3 linked regions of the Macaca fascicularis genome follow. The protein of the gene in region 2 interacts with the protein of the main gene of each other region in a biochemical or structural test. Links are inferred from orthologs where the notes say so. Each region holds a gene or a part of one and is shown on either strand. Other genes may lie near its edges.

Region 1 (3,748 bases), on a different chromosome or scaffold from region 2:
GTCGCACACCCATGAAGCCCACCCTGGTGGGAGGAGAGAATTAGAATTCATCTCCAACGAATGTAAAACAATCCCTACCCTGCCAAAACAACAAAAATAAACGATCCAAATTAGGGCAGGTTGTGAACAATCCTGATGGCTGTGCTTGTGATCATGGTGGCGGGGCTGAGGTGGGAGCACTGCTCCTATATAACAGACTTTAGAGGAGAAGGAAAATAGTTTCTGAAGCTCCAAAGGAGAAACTTCAGGCGCAAAGAATAAGGTAAAGGAAAGGAAACCGCGTCAGACCCTCCTCCTGCCCTTGGGCAGTCAATGCCTTTTCTTTCCAAAGCGACCCTCTCTTTAGATCACTGTGTATATCCGGTGCCTTAGGAGCTGGGGTGGAGTAGGTAGGGTTGGCTGTAATGGCGTGTCAGAGCGACAAAAAGGGTAGGGACAAGTTTAAATCCCTTTCTGTGGATTGGCTTCTACCCTCTTTGGCAACAAACCCCAGGGCTCCCAGAGGGGCCTGGATGTAAGTGGTTTCCGGATGACCCATCCTCCCTTGACCCTCCAAAGGTAAGACCCGAGGGGAACCGCTGTGATCAGCATTCTTGAATTCCTCAAAAGTCACCTCACTTGTAGAAGTGCGTAGTCCTCGAGCATTTGGAAGAGGTGGCAGGGACCGTGGGGCCCGGGAAGTTCGCGACCCCAGGAAGCGGGTGTGAGGAGGTGCGCCCCATCCACTCCGTCCGCAGTCGGGGCAGCGGGACCCGCGAGGACTGGAGTCCCTGCAGGGAGGGAAGGGCCGCTCCTGCCGAGGCGGCTCCGAGCCCCGCCACTCGGTCCTATCCCGGCTCGCGGAGGCTCAGGCCTCGGGAACTGCGGGCGGAGGGGGCGGCGACCGGGCACCCTGCGGCCACTGCTCCTGCGACTCCCGCGCCCGCCGGGTGGTGGCTCCGCAGTGCCCGCCCCCAGCTCCCCTTCCCCGCCCCTCACGCCCCCGCCCGGCGCTCTGGCCGCGCCGACCCGCCGCCCCGTCCTTCCGAGCGCGCCAGGCGGCAGCTTCTTGGCGGCGGCGGCGGCACCTCCCCCGCGCCGGCGGCCCCGCGCCGGCGGCCGCGCTCCGGGCCGCAGAGTCCTCCCGCCTCGGCCATTTTCCCTCCTCCCCATCTCCTCCCCTCAGTCCACTCCCCTCCTGATCCTCATCCCCTCGCCCTCCCCCCGCGCGGGGACTTTTCCGGAAAGTTTTTATTTTCCGTCTCGGCTCTCGGAGAAAGAAGCTCCTGGTTCAGCCGCTGCAAAACTTTTCGGCTGCCGCGCCGCCGGCCCCCGCCCTCGGCTGCCCGGCCCCGCGCCCCGCTGAGCGATGAGCGCCCCTCCGGTCCTGCGGCCGCCCAGCCCCCTGCTGCCCGTGGCGGCAGCCGCTGCGGCAGCTGCCGCCGCACTGGTCCCAGGGTCCGGGCCCGGGCCCGCGCCTTTCTTGGCTCCCGTCGCGGCCCCGGTCGGGGGCATCTCGTTCCATCTGCAGATCGGCCTGAGCCGTGAGCCAGTGCTGCTGCTGCAGGACTCGTCTGGGGACTACAGCCTGGCGCACGTCCGCGAGATGGCTTGCTCCATCGTCGACCAGAAGGTAAGTCGCCGCGCCGCTGCCAGCCCGGCGCCTCCCCGCGGCGCAGGGGGCGCTGCCCAGCTGGCCCTCTCTGCGCCAACTTTCCGGCTCCCGGGGCTCGGCCGGCGGCCAGCCTCGTCGGCGCTCTGGAAGCGACTGGCCTCGCCGCGGCTGGACGCCTGCAGCCCGAGGCACTGCGCTCGCTGTTGCTCATCCTCCTCTCGCCCCATCTTCCTCTATTCACCGATTTGTCTCCAGTCCGCCTACTCCTCACCCATTTCCATCCTTCTCATGACAATTTCCAGGTATCTTGCCCTTTCCTCGCCGCGCCCCTCCTTGTCCTTGAGACTTCCCAGTTTTCTTCTCCTCTGTCCCCTTCCCCTATGGACCCTGGACCAGCGCATTCCTGGTGCCGGAATCCTACTTCCTGCACCAGAGTGCCCCTGGAATGGCCTGGAGACAAGAAATTTCTCACCTGTCAGCTAAACTGACCAGGACTGCAGCTACCCAAGGCCCTGTCATCTTTTAGTTCCACCTCTGTATGAACATGGAAACACATTTTCCAACGACAAAACCTGAAAGTTGCAACCTTCCTATTTTTCATTCCCGGGATGCTGATAGTAGGACGTTGAAGTGGTGGGGGTGATGTCCAGGAACATCCCAAGGCTGGCTGTGCCCTTAAGTTTGAGGCTGTGGGGCTCTGGACAGCGGCCACTCAAGGCAGGTTGGAAGAAGGGCCGTTATCTGGGGCCAGGCCACCCCCGGAGGAGACTCAGTCCAGCCACCACTGTTTACAGTTGCAATTTGGATTTTCAGGTTGCCTCTGGAGCTATCCAGAGGGATGTTGCATGGAAGGGGGTGATACAGATGTGAGGGAGAGGGGACCATGGCGCCAGTCTTCTTAGTGTAAACAGCCAGCGTTTCAGGGGGTGGAGACAGAGGTCTCTAAAGGTGCTGAATTTTTCAGCCCTGGAGGACTGGCTAGCACTCCTTTTGCTTTCCAATTATCACTTGAATAATCATGAATTGCTTTCTTTAAACTATGTGTAACAGAGTTTGCTAAACCTTGAGGGTTGTGAGTTGCGGCACTGAGCACAGGGATGTTAAAAGCCCCAGGTGGAAAAAAATAACCGATCTAGAAAGTTGTGAAAGTTCTAGACTAAGGTAACAATGAGTGCCAGGAATTTATTTATGGAACTTTACTTTTATATTACGGGTAATGTCAACTGTTTGCAACTTCGAAGAAAATGACACATTTTGTCTAATGCTGATGCAAGTCATATCATGCTCCTTTTCCACATCAGTATTGTGGAATGTCTATTGTGGGTAAGCAGGAGCACTCTTCTAGGCACTGTGAAAGCCTTGTATACAACCCTCTCCATTTGGATGCAGACCAGTTAATTAAACAGCAATGCTTCATAACCACATATACAATGTACAATAAAATTTCTCAAAAAGCAAAGGTAATTCTGTACAATTTTAACTTTTCTAAATTCTAAAGCAAGTGATGTAGTGTCAGAGAATATTCAAATTGGGTCAAAGTAATATTGATAGACTTTGTTTTGACCAGCTTGAATTCTCCCTCCTCCCCGCCCCCAACTTCCTTATGGAGTTCAGGATGGAGAGACTGATCCATGGCTCAAGAGGTTTGGTAGTGGGATTTTAAAATGGAGGGTGAATTCCAGGTGTCTTGGAAGCTACCAAGAGGCGTGTTACATGGAGAGAGTGAGATGAGAGCAGAGGGAGAGGGACAGCAAGCACTTACGGAATGCAGCAGGCCTGAAGGTGGTGGCTGGGGTCTTTAAGGGAAGTACAGTTATGAAAAGGCCTTGAATTAAACTCAAATTGCGAGAAGCCTCAGTAATCTTTTCACAGCGACATCATACCAAGGACATCTGAAACATGGATTTGCTGTGTGGAGGTTTTAGAATGCCAAAAATGTTATGGCAGAAAGAGCACCAGAGTTCAGTCATGAGCAGTTGGAACATGAGCCAAGACTCTTGGGGGAGAGACCGGGAGAAATACTGGAAAGAGAAAACCATCAGCCCTGATAGGTGACTGATTTATAAGGGGAATCCTTTCCTTTTGTATTTGTTTTGGTAGTTTCTTCTGTCTCTCAAAGAAGTTTGAAAAGTTTGACTGTTTGGGATAGTTAAG
Region 2 (3,748 bases):
CTCTCACAAACCTCCCTCCTGCCGCCCCTCCCCAGCCCTCCCCCCCGCTTTGTGTTCTTAATGAGTACTACAGAAGCAATCTACAGTCTCTATTGCAGTTTGTAACCCCCTCCCCCTCCCCCCTTTAATACTGAATGAGATCGAATGTTAGGTCCATGCAGTTCTTGGTCAATGTTAACGAAAAGTCCAACGTTCCGTCCGCGCGGGGACAGCCCGTCCGCAAAGCGGGGCAGCCCGCAGGCGGCCGCTCCCTGGCTCCACGCCAAGGGAGGGCGCGCCAAGTCCTTCCCACTCGTGCACACTGGGGGCGCCGTCAGGACGCAACCCAGTCCAACTTGGATACCCTTGGCTTTAGTTCTCGGACACTTCTTTTTTCTCTCCGTCGCAACTTGTCAAGTTTTCAAGTCTGTCTCTCTGTGTTATTTTTTTTCTCCGTTGCCCCTCAGCCCCCAACAGTCTCTCTTCAAAATGTTTGCAACTGCTGCGTTAGCATGAGTTGGCACCCACTGTTAACGTGGTTCATGACTTTCTGTTTAAGCTGTGCCACCTGTTCCCTGAGCATGTTGGCCGTGGACGCCAGCTCCGAGTTCTGAGCTTTCAAGGTTTTCACTTTTTCCTCCAGCCGGGCGATTCTCTCCAGCTTCCTTTTTCGGCACTTGGAGGCAGCAATGCGGTTCCTCATACGCTTCCTCTCCGCCTTGATCCGCTCCTGGGACTCCATGTCAATGGGGGACAGGGGCGGCGTCTCGCCAGGCATCTCGGGCACTGTCTGAGGCTCCTCCTTCAGGGCTTGCAGCCGCGGGTGCTGCACGGGCATCTGCTGGGGCAGGTGGTGCGGCGGCTGCGGCGGCGGCTGCTGCTGCTGGGGTTGCGCGGGAAAGGCCAGGCCGGCCGCGCCGTAGGAGGGCGCCCCGCCGCCGCTGCTCAGCGCGCCTGGGTTGAAGTTGCTGAGGTTGGCGTAGACGGGCGGCTCGCTGTGCAGGCTGGCGCTGAAGCCTCCGCTGCCGCTGCCCCCTGCCACCGAGGCTACCGCTGGAGCTACCATGCCCGCCCCGCTGACCGGCTGCGCCGCTGACGTGACGCTGGGCAGCGTGTTCTGGCTGTGCAGTTCGGCCAGGGCGCGCACGAAGCCCTCGGCGAAGCCCTCCTGCTCGTCTGTCACGTTCTTGGGGCACAGGAACTGGGTGGGGGTCGGCGTGGTGGTGATGTGCCCGTTGCTGGACTGGATTATCAGGCGCTCCAGCTCGGGCGACGCCAGCTTGAGCAGCCCCACGTCGGGCGAGGTGAGGAGGTCCGAGTTCTTGGCGCGGAGGTGCGGCTTCAGGCTCCCCACTGGGTCGGCCAGGTTCAGGGTCATGCTCTGTTTCAGGATCTTGGGGTTACTGTAGCCATAAGCTCCGCTCTCGGACGGGAGGAACGAGGCGTTGAGGGCATCATCATAGAAGGTCGTTTCCATCTTTGCAGTCATAGAACAGTCCGTCACTTCACGTGAGGTTAGTTTGGGCTGCGTGCTGAAGTTTCGGGGCCGCAACAGCGCTCTGGCAAGCGGGGGACACCCGTGCCCCCCGGGGCCTTTGGCAGGGAAAGTTTCTCTAAGAGCGCGCGCACCCGCTGGTTGTCGTCCCCGCTGCGCCCTCCTCACCAGCTCGCTCCAGGGAGCGCAGGGTTAATTAAGATGCCTCCCGCACTCTTACTTGTCGACTCGCGCGCGCGCTACCCGGCTTTGAAAAGTCGCGGTCACTCACTGAGCGCTCTTCGGGCGCCGCCGTTCCTTGGAGTCCGCGGGCGAACTCGCTTCCCAGAGCAGCGGCTCTCCCGGCGGCGCGGATCAGTGCCGACCCGCAGAGGCCGACCAGCGGCGGGTCTCGGCCGCCCAGACTCCGACGACTTGTCCCCTCCTCCGCTGCGAGGGGGAGGGGGCGCCCGGCAGCCGCGGCTCGCGCTCGCCCAAGTTCAGCAACCGGTGCGAGCGAAGCTGAGCGCACGTCCTTCTTCTTTTGCGTGGCTGTCCGCCGCCTCCTGGTCTTTACCGCCGCCGAATAGCCTAAGACGCAGGAAAGGCTTGCAAAAGTTCGCTCCGGGACTCTGGGCCAGTTGTCTCCGGCCCTCCGGGCCGAGAAAGTTCTTTGCTGCTGCAGTCGCTCGCCGACTTCCCCCGGCGGGCGCGTGGGTACCGCTGCTCGCCACCGCTGTCAACAGCGCCTGGGCAGCAGGGCTCTCCTCCTGGGGGCGGCTGGAGACCAGGCTCTCTGGGCACTCCTCGTAACACCAGCCCGGGAGCCACAGGCGCTAGCTCTGGGCAGTTGGAGAGAAGGTGGAAAAGAAAATAAGATTTGCAGTTCGGACTATACTGCCGTCCTGGCTGGCTGGTTGTGTCTGTCTGCCTGCCTGAGTCCGCGCACCTCCACTCCCGCCTCGCTGCTTCAGCCACACTCAGTGCAACTCTGAGCCCTTATCCAGCTCGAGCTCAACACTTATCTGCTACCAGTCAACCCCTAAAAATAGCCCATGATGTCACCCCAAGGCCTTCCCATTGGCTCGCGTCGCTCTCAGGGGGGCGGGCCCGCCCGTCACCATGGAGACTCCACCCTAGAAGATTCTTCTCTGGGCCCGCGGAGGCTCACGGGATGAGGTAATGCTCCGCTGCCCTCCTACAGTCGGGCCCTTCTTTCTCCTACCCTCCCCCCTGCCGCACGCCTCTCGGCCCTCTCTTCCCCGGTCCCCTCCCCGGGCCGTTTTTCCCGGCCCGCCCGGTGCATTGTGGGCTGACGTCTTGGGGTTTGACTGTCTAGTGACGGTGGCTGCCGCGAGCGGGCGGACGCTCGCAACATCTGACGGAGGGGGCTCAAGTTCACGGCTGCGGACTGGGATGCAGGGGATGCGGGGACCCGGGAGGCCAGGGAACCCGGCCAGTTGTTTTGGGTCAAGGGTGCGGGCGAGGGGTGGTTGTGTTTCCCCACTTGTGGGGCTCGAAGTCATCCACCGGCGTCCGCCACCGCGCGGGGCGGGAGGCTGAGAGTCCAGGTCCGCCGCCCCCCCGCACTTCCGGGGGGCGGGAGCGCCGCCCTTAAGGTGGCTCTGTGAAGTCCCAGTTGGGGGCGAGCCTAAGGGGGCTTAAGTTTGGGGGCGGTCTCCCGAGAGTCGGCCCCCCACGTTGAGAAACGCTGCGAAGTTTGCATCTCGGTCAAGTTCAGGAGCGATGGTCCGCGGGGTTGTCTGGCTGCTCTTAGAAGCTGAGAGATTTGTATTGCCCAAAACTGGACGCTCAGCTGAGTCTCCGTTGCACCCCACTTCATCCTCCGGGACCGTGGGGGAAAGGGCGCGGGGGATCACAGCTTTGCCTCCGAGGGGCAGTTTTTATAGTGGGCGCAATTAGTGGGTAACAGGGTCCAGATGGGAACAAGCGTGTAGGCGATCCGAAACTCGGGGAACCCCGGTGTTAGTCTACTCCCCTTCCCGCCCCCGGACAACACACACACGCTTAACACAACACGCACAACATGCGCGCGCGCGCACACACACACACACACACGCACACACTCTCCACCCGCGCCGAGTTGCTTCCGGGAAAACAAGCTCAGAAGGCGGGGGACACTCGCATAAAGTAACGCAGTAGAACTCAGGAGCCCGGGGTAGAACCTGGACTTCAAATCTCCACCTTCCCGGCCGGGTGGTGGGCCCATATCCTGAGTAGCCTCTAGGAAGCGCTAGACACATGTAAGTGGTTCCTTTTCCGCGGTTGTTATTT
Region 3 (3,327 bases), on a different chromosome or scaffold from region 2:
ATATACTATCTCAGTTTCACTCTGACTGAGAAGCTAATGGACCTTTCTTGGGTCTAGGAGATTATCACCTATTTTACCTCTCATCTCTCAGGCCTGAAATACTCATCCTGCTTTTCTCTTCTGTTTCAACTCCCATCACCTGCTTTGTCTCTTGTGGTTCCATTCCTTTCTGTCTCCCAGTCCCCTCCCTAAAGATTTTCCTATTCCCACTACACTGCCTGTTTTCTTTTTGCATTTGAAGAAAAGCTCGCAGAGGACCTTTCATATTGAAGTGTTTTATTGCTTATCTGGACAGAATGGAGGGATGATCTCAAATACAGATGCTGGGTTCAGGAGCAGTGGTTTTCAGCCATATTTGGTTTCAGCATCGTTGGGTGCCTGAACCTCACCCTCAGAAATTCTGCTCAGTGTTCCATTTGAAGACCATTGATTTTATTTCATAAATGTATTCTTGAGAACTTTTAAGTAACTTGCGTTATTCAAATTTGGAATGACCCTTATTTAGTGTTCATGTGGTTTAAAAGTACTTAGCCTAGTGCATGAGTTACCTTTTTTCTCTATACCCCAGTGTAAGTCATTCCTGTCCCCTTCCTAAACCAATCCCCTTGAGAGGATTTCTGTCTCGAGCTCAGGTATTCGTGTTACTTTTTAAAATTCAGGAAGTCCTTATTAGGTAATACTTTCGGCAAAAGAAACTGTTTGCTCCTACTTTATCTATTTAATAAATCCATATTTCTACTTATCAAGTATTAGCGTAGAAATAAGAAGACCCAAGTTTACTTAACTAGGCCATTTGAGTGACACTGTCATGTCCCATAACCTTGTATAAACTGGGGCAGTTGAATTAAGGTTTCTTCCTGTTAAAATTATTTTATTCCTTGGCGCTTGCTTTAAAACAAGATGTGCCAGAAGTACATCTTGTTTCAAATTTGAATCATTTGAATTTTTCCTTTTTAGTGCAAAGCTATAAAGACTTTTTTGTAGGGAAGTAGCTTTTAACTTTTGTAGTTATACAGTCCTTTAAGATCTTCTGTCCAAAAAAAGGCATTACAGACAGTTTTGCATGTATTATCAGCAGTATTCACACGTACCCTGAAGCCCATTTGTGGATCTTGCTGCAGGACCATTTCTAAATGTGGCTCAGATGTAAATTCTTGTCTTAAACTGGAAAACACATTCATTGAAAGGATAGGACTCCACGATTCTAGACATTTTCAGAATTCTCACCTCATAGCTGTCAATGAAGAGTGTTTTTTAGTGTATTGGATATCATTTGCGATTATTTTTAGTGAGCCTTCTAAACCCAAGAGAAAAAATTACCACTAGAGGCAGGCAGTGCAGTGCAAGTAGCTCGATCTGCAGCTGTCTGCAACTGATTTGCTGTTTTGTTTCTCATAGCACAGGTGCAGCAGTGATCAATGGCTCTCAGCATCCATCGTCATCGTCGTCTGTCAATGATGTGTCTTCAATGTCAACAGATCCGACTTTGGCCTCGGATACAGACAGCAGTCTAGAAGCATCAGCTGGGCCTCTGGGCTGCTGTAGATGACTACTTGGGCCGTGGGGGGGTGGGAGGGACGGGGAGTCGGTTAGTCATTGATAGAACTACTTTGAAAACAATTCAGTGGTCTTATTTTTGAGTGATTTTTCAAAAAATGTAGAATTCATTTTGTAGTAAAGTAGTTTATTTTTTTTAATTTCAAGTGATGTAATTTAAAACCTAAGTTGTGTTTCAAAACAGCAACAAAACTGTATTGTATTTTTTGCTGTAATTAACTGTATAATGTAAACCTAATTATTTTATCATGTTTTAAATTTTTTGCATATTTGCTTTATCTTATGCTGCTGATTTTTTTAACTGAATTTGTAAGATTTTGTTTATCAAAGCAACTATTATGTGGTGACTTGCCTATATCATGAATTATTTAAGATTTTTATAGTTTTTTTTATTAGAATTTATTTCAGATGTTTTGTTCATGATACTATCCTTCAGGGTTATGTGCTTATCAATGAAATAACCCCAGAGGAGTGAGGGAAAATAACTTGTAGCCAGTTATATTCAGGAATAACTACTGTAAATGATGAACGTGTTAGGAGACCTCCAATATTTGCTACTTGCCAATCCTAATTTAGTTACAAGAATTGGTAGGCAATCCTACTTAATTTTGGCAAAAGCCCCGTCATCTAAGTGGCAGAATAACTCAGAGCATGTCTTTGAAGATGCTGGGCATCTACCACCACCTTATGTCCCCACCCTACCCAACAGAAATAAGTAAAAAGAACATGGTGTATTCTGCAAATTTGTGGCATGCTCAAAGTTTATGATCACATAAAGTCAAGAGGATACTTCATGAATAATACATTTCAATGCAAATAAACAGATGGTTCACTTCTACTAGCTATGAGCCTGTTTTTGTATACACTGAGTTAATCTACTCAGGCTGTAGGTCCCAGCAATGTTCTAGAGTCTAGTCTTTCCCTTTCCTGCAGCTTCGGGCCCTTGGACCTTTCCGGTTTCCTATTACTTGGAGTGTCTGTCAGTTGAACACCAGTTGTTCTGGTGTTTCTGGCCATTTGATTCTACTTGTAGCATAATCATATTTATACTAGCTATTGGGAGGTTCCAAAGCCTACCTAGATTTGTGTAGGTGATGTATCAAATGAGCAATATACCGTTCATCTGAAAATAGTAGCACACAGCCATATATAGGATGTCATTTTCTAAGGACTGTTTCTTCACATTGAGCAGAGCAGGCATAAATGGTGGTTATTTAGTCTGAGTCTTTTATTTTTTTATACCTGATTTTCAACATAACATGCAATGTGGATGTCGAGTAGTGTAAGAATGGTGCTGCTCCTGACAAGTGTATGTTAACTGTTTACATTTTCTATCTGCAGAATTATTTCTCTATAACTGAACTTTTCCCAAGTAAAATGTCTTTGAAGTCTCGTTATTTCTGAAATACGGTGTCTGTAATAGACCCAGGCACCTTTTAAATGATCTCTGGAACAAGAGGGATTTCATGTAATGAACTAGGAAGTGCATACTCACATAAGCAGCAAGGTTCTAGGCAGAAAGCCCCTTGGAATTCGTGACCAATGGGAAGAACAGGTGTGGCTTAACATGCAGTGTCTGAAAATTTGCTTGGCATTTTATTCATATATTTAGTGCAAAATTCCTTTTGAATGAGATATTTTACATCATTGTTAATGTGCAATATTTAAGATTAAAATACGTTAGCCTTTTTATATACTTTGAAATAGCAGGTTTGTTTTTGATGGCTTAGAGTCATGATTTCCAGCTTCCCAGCCTTTTTATCAGTCCCT

Evidence for each region.
Region 1: of the proteins of JUN (region 2) and PRKD1, one has a biochemical effect on the other in vitro, tested with the Homo sapiens proteins (2 studies listed by BioGRID). The link is inferred for Macaca fascicularis from reciprocal best matches to the Homo sapiens genes JUN and PRKD1.
Region 3: of the proteins of JUN (region 2) and MAPK8, one has a biochemical effect on the other in vitro, tested with the Homo sapiens proteins (76 studies listed by BioGRID and IntAct, with this or other methods). The link is inferred for Macaca fascicularis from reciprocal best matches to the Homo sapiens genes JUN and MAPK8.

What each region holds. Positions count from the first base shown.
Region 1 is NC_088381.1:97,748,667-97,752,414, reverse strand, and holds the start of PRKD1 (serine/threonine-protein kinase D1), read left to right. Parts: upstream 1-1,152; 5' UTR 1,153-1,348; coding exon 1,349-1,612; intron 1,613-3,748. Other genes in the region: uncharacterized protein, read right to left, coding at 614-1,152.
Region 2 is NC_088375.1:175,918,122-175,921,869, reverse strand, and holds the start of JUN (transcription factor Jun), read right to left. Parts: upstream 2,447-3,748; 5' UTR 1,469-2,446; coding exon 464-1,468; 3' UTR 1-463. UniProt on the Homo sapiens protein: Transcription factor that recognizes and binds to the AP-1 consensus motif 5'-TGA[GC]TCA-3'.
Region 3 is NC_088383.1:57,641,974-57,645,300, forward strand, and holds part of MAPK8 (mitogen-activated protein kinase 8), read left to right. Parts: intron 1-1,398; coding exon of another isoform or gene 1,399-1,403; coding exon 1,404-1,549; 3' UTR 1,550-3,327. UniProt on the Homo sapiens protein: Serine/threonine-protein kinase involved in various processes such as cell proliferation, differentiation, migration, transformation and programmed cell death.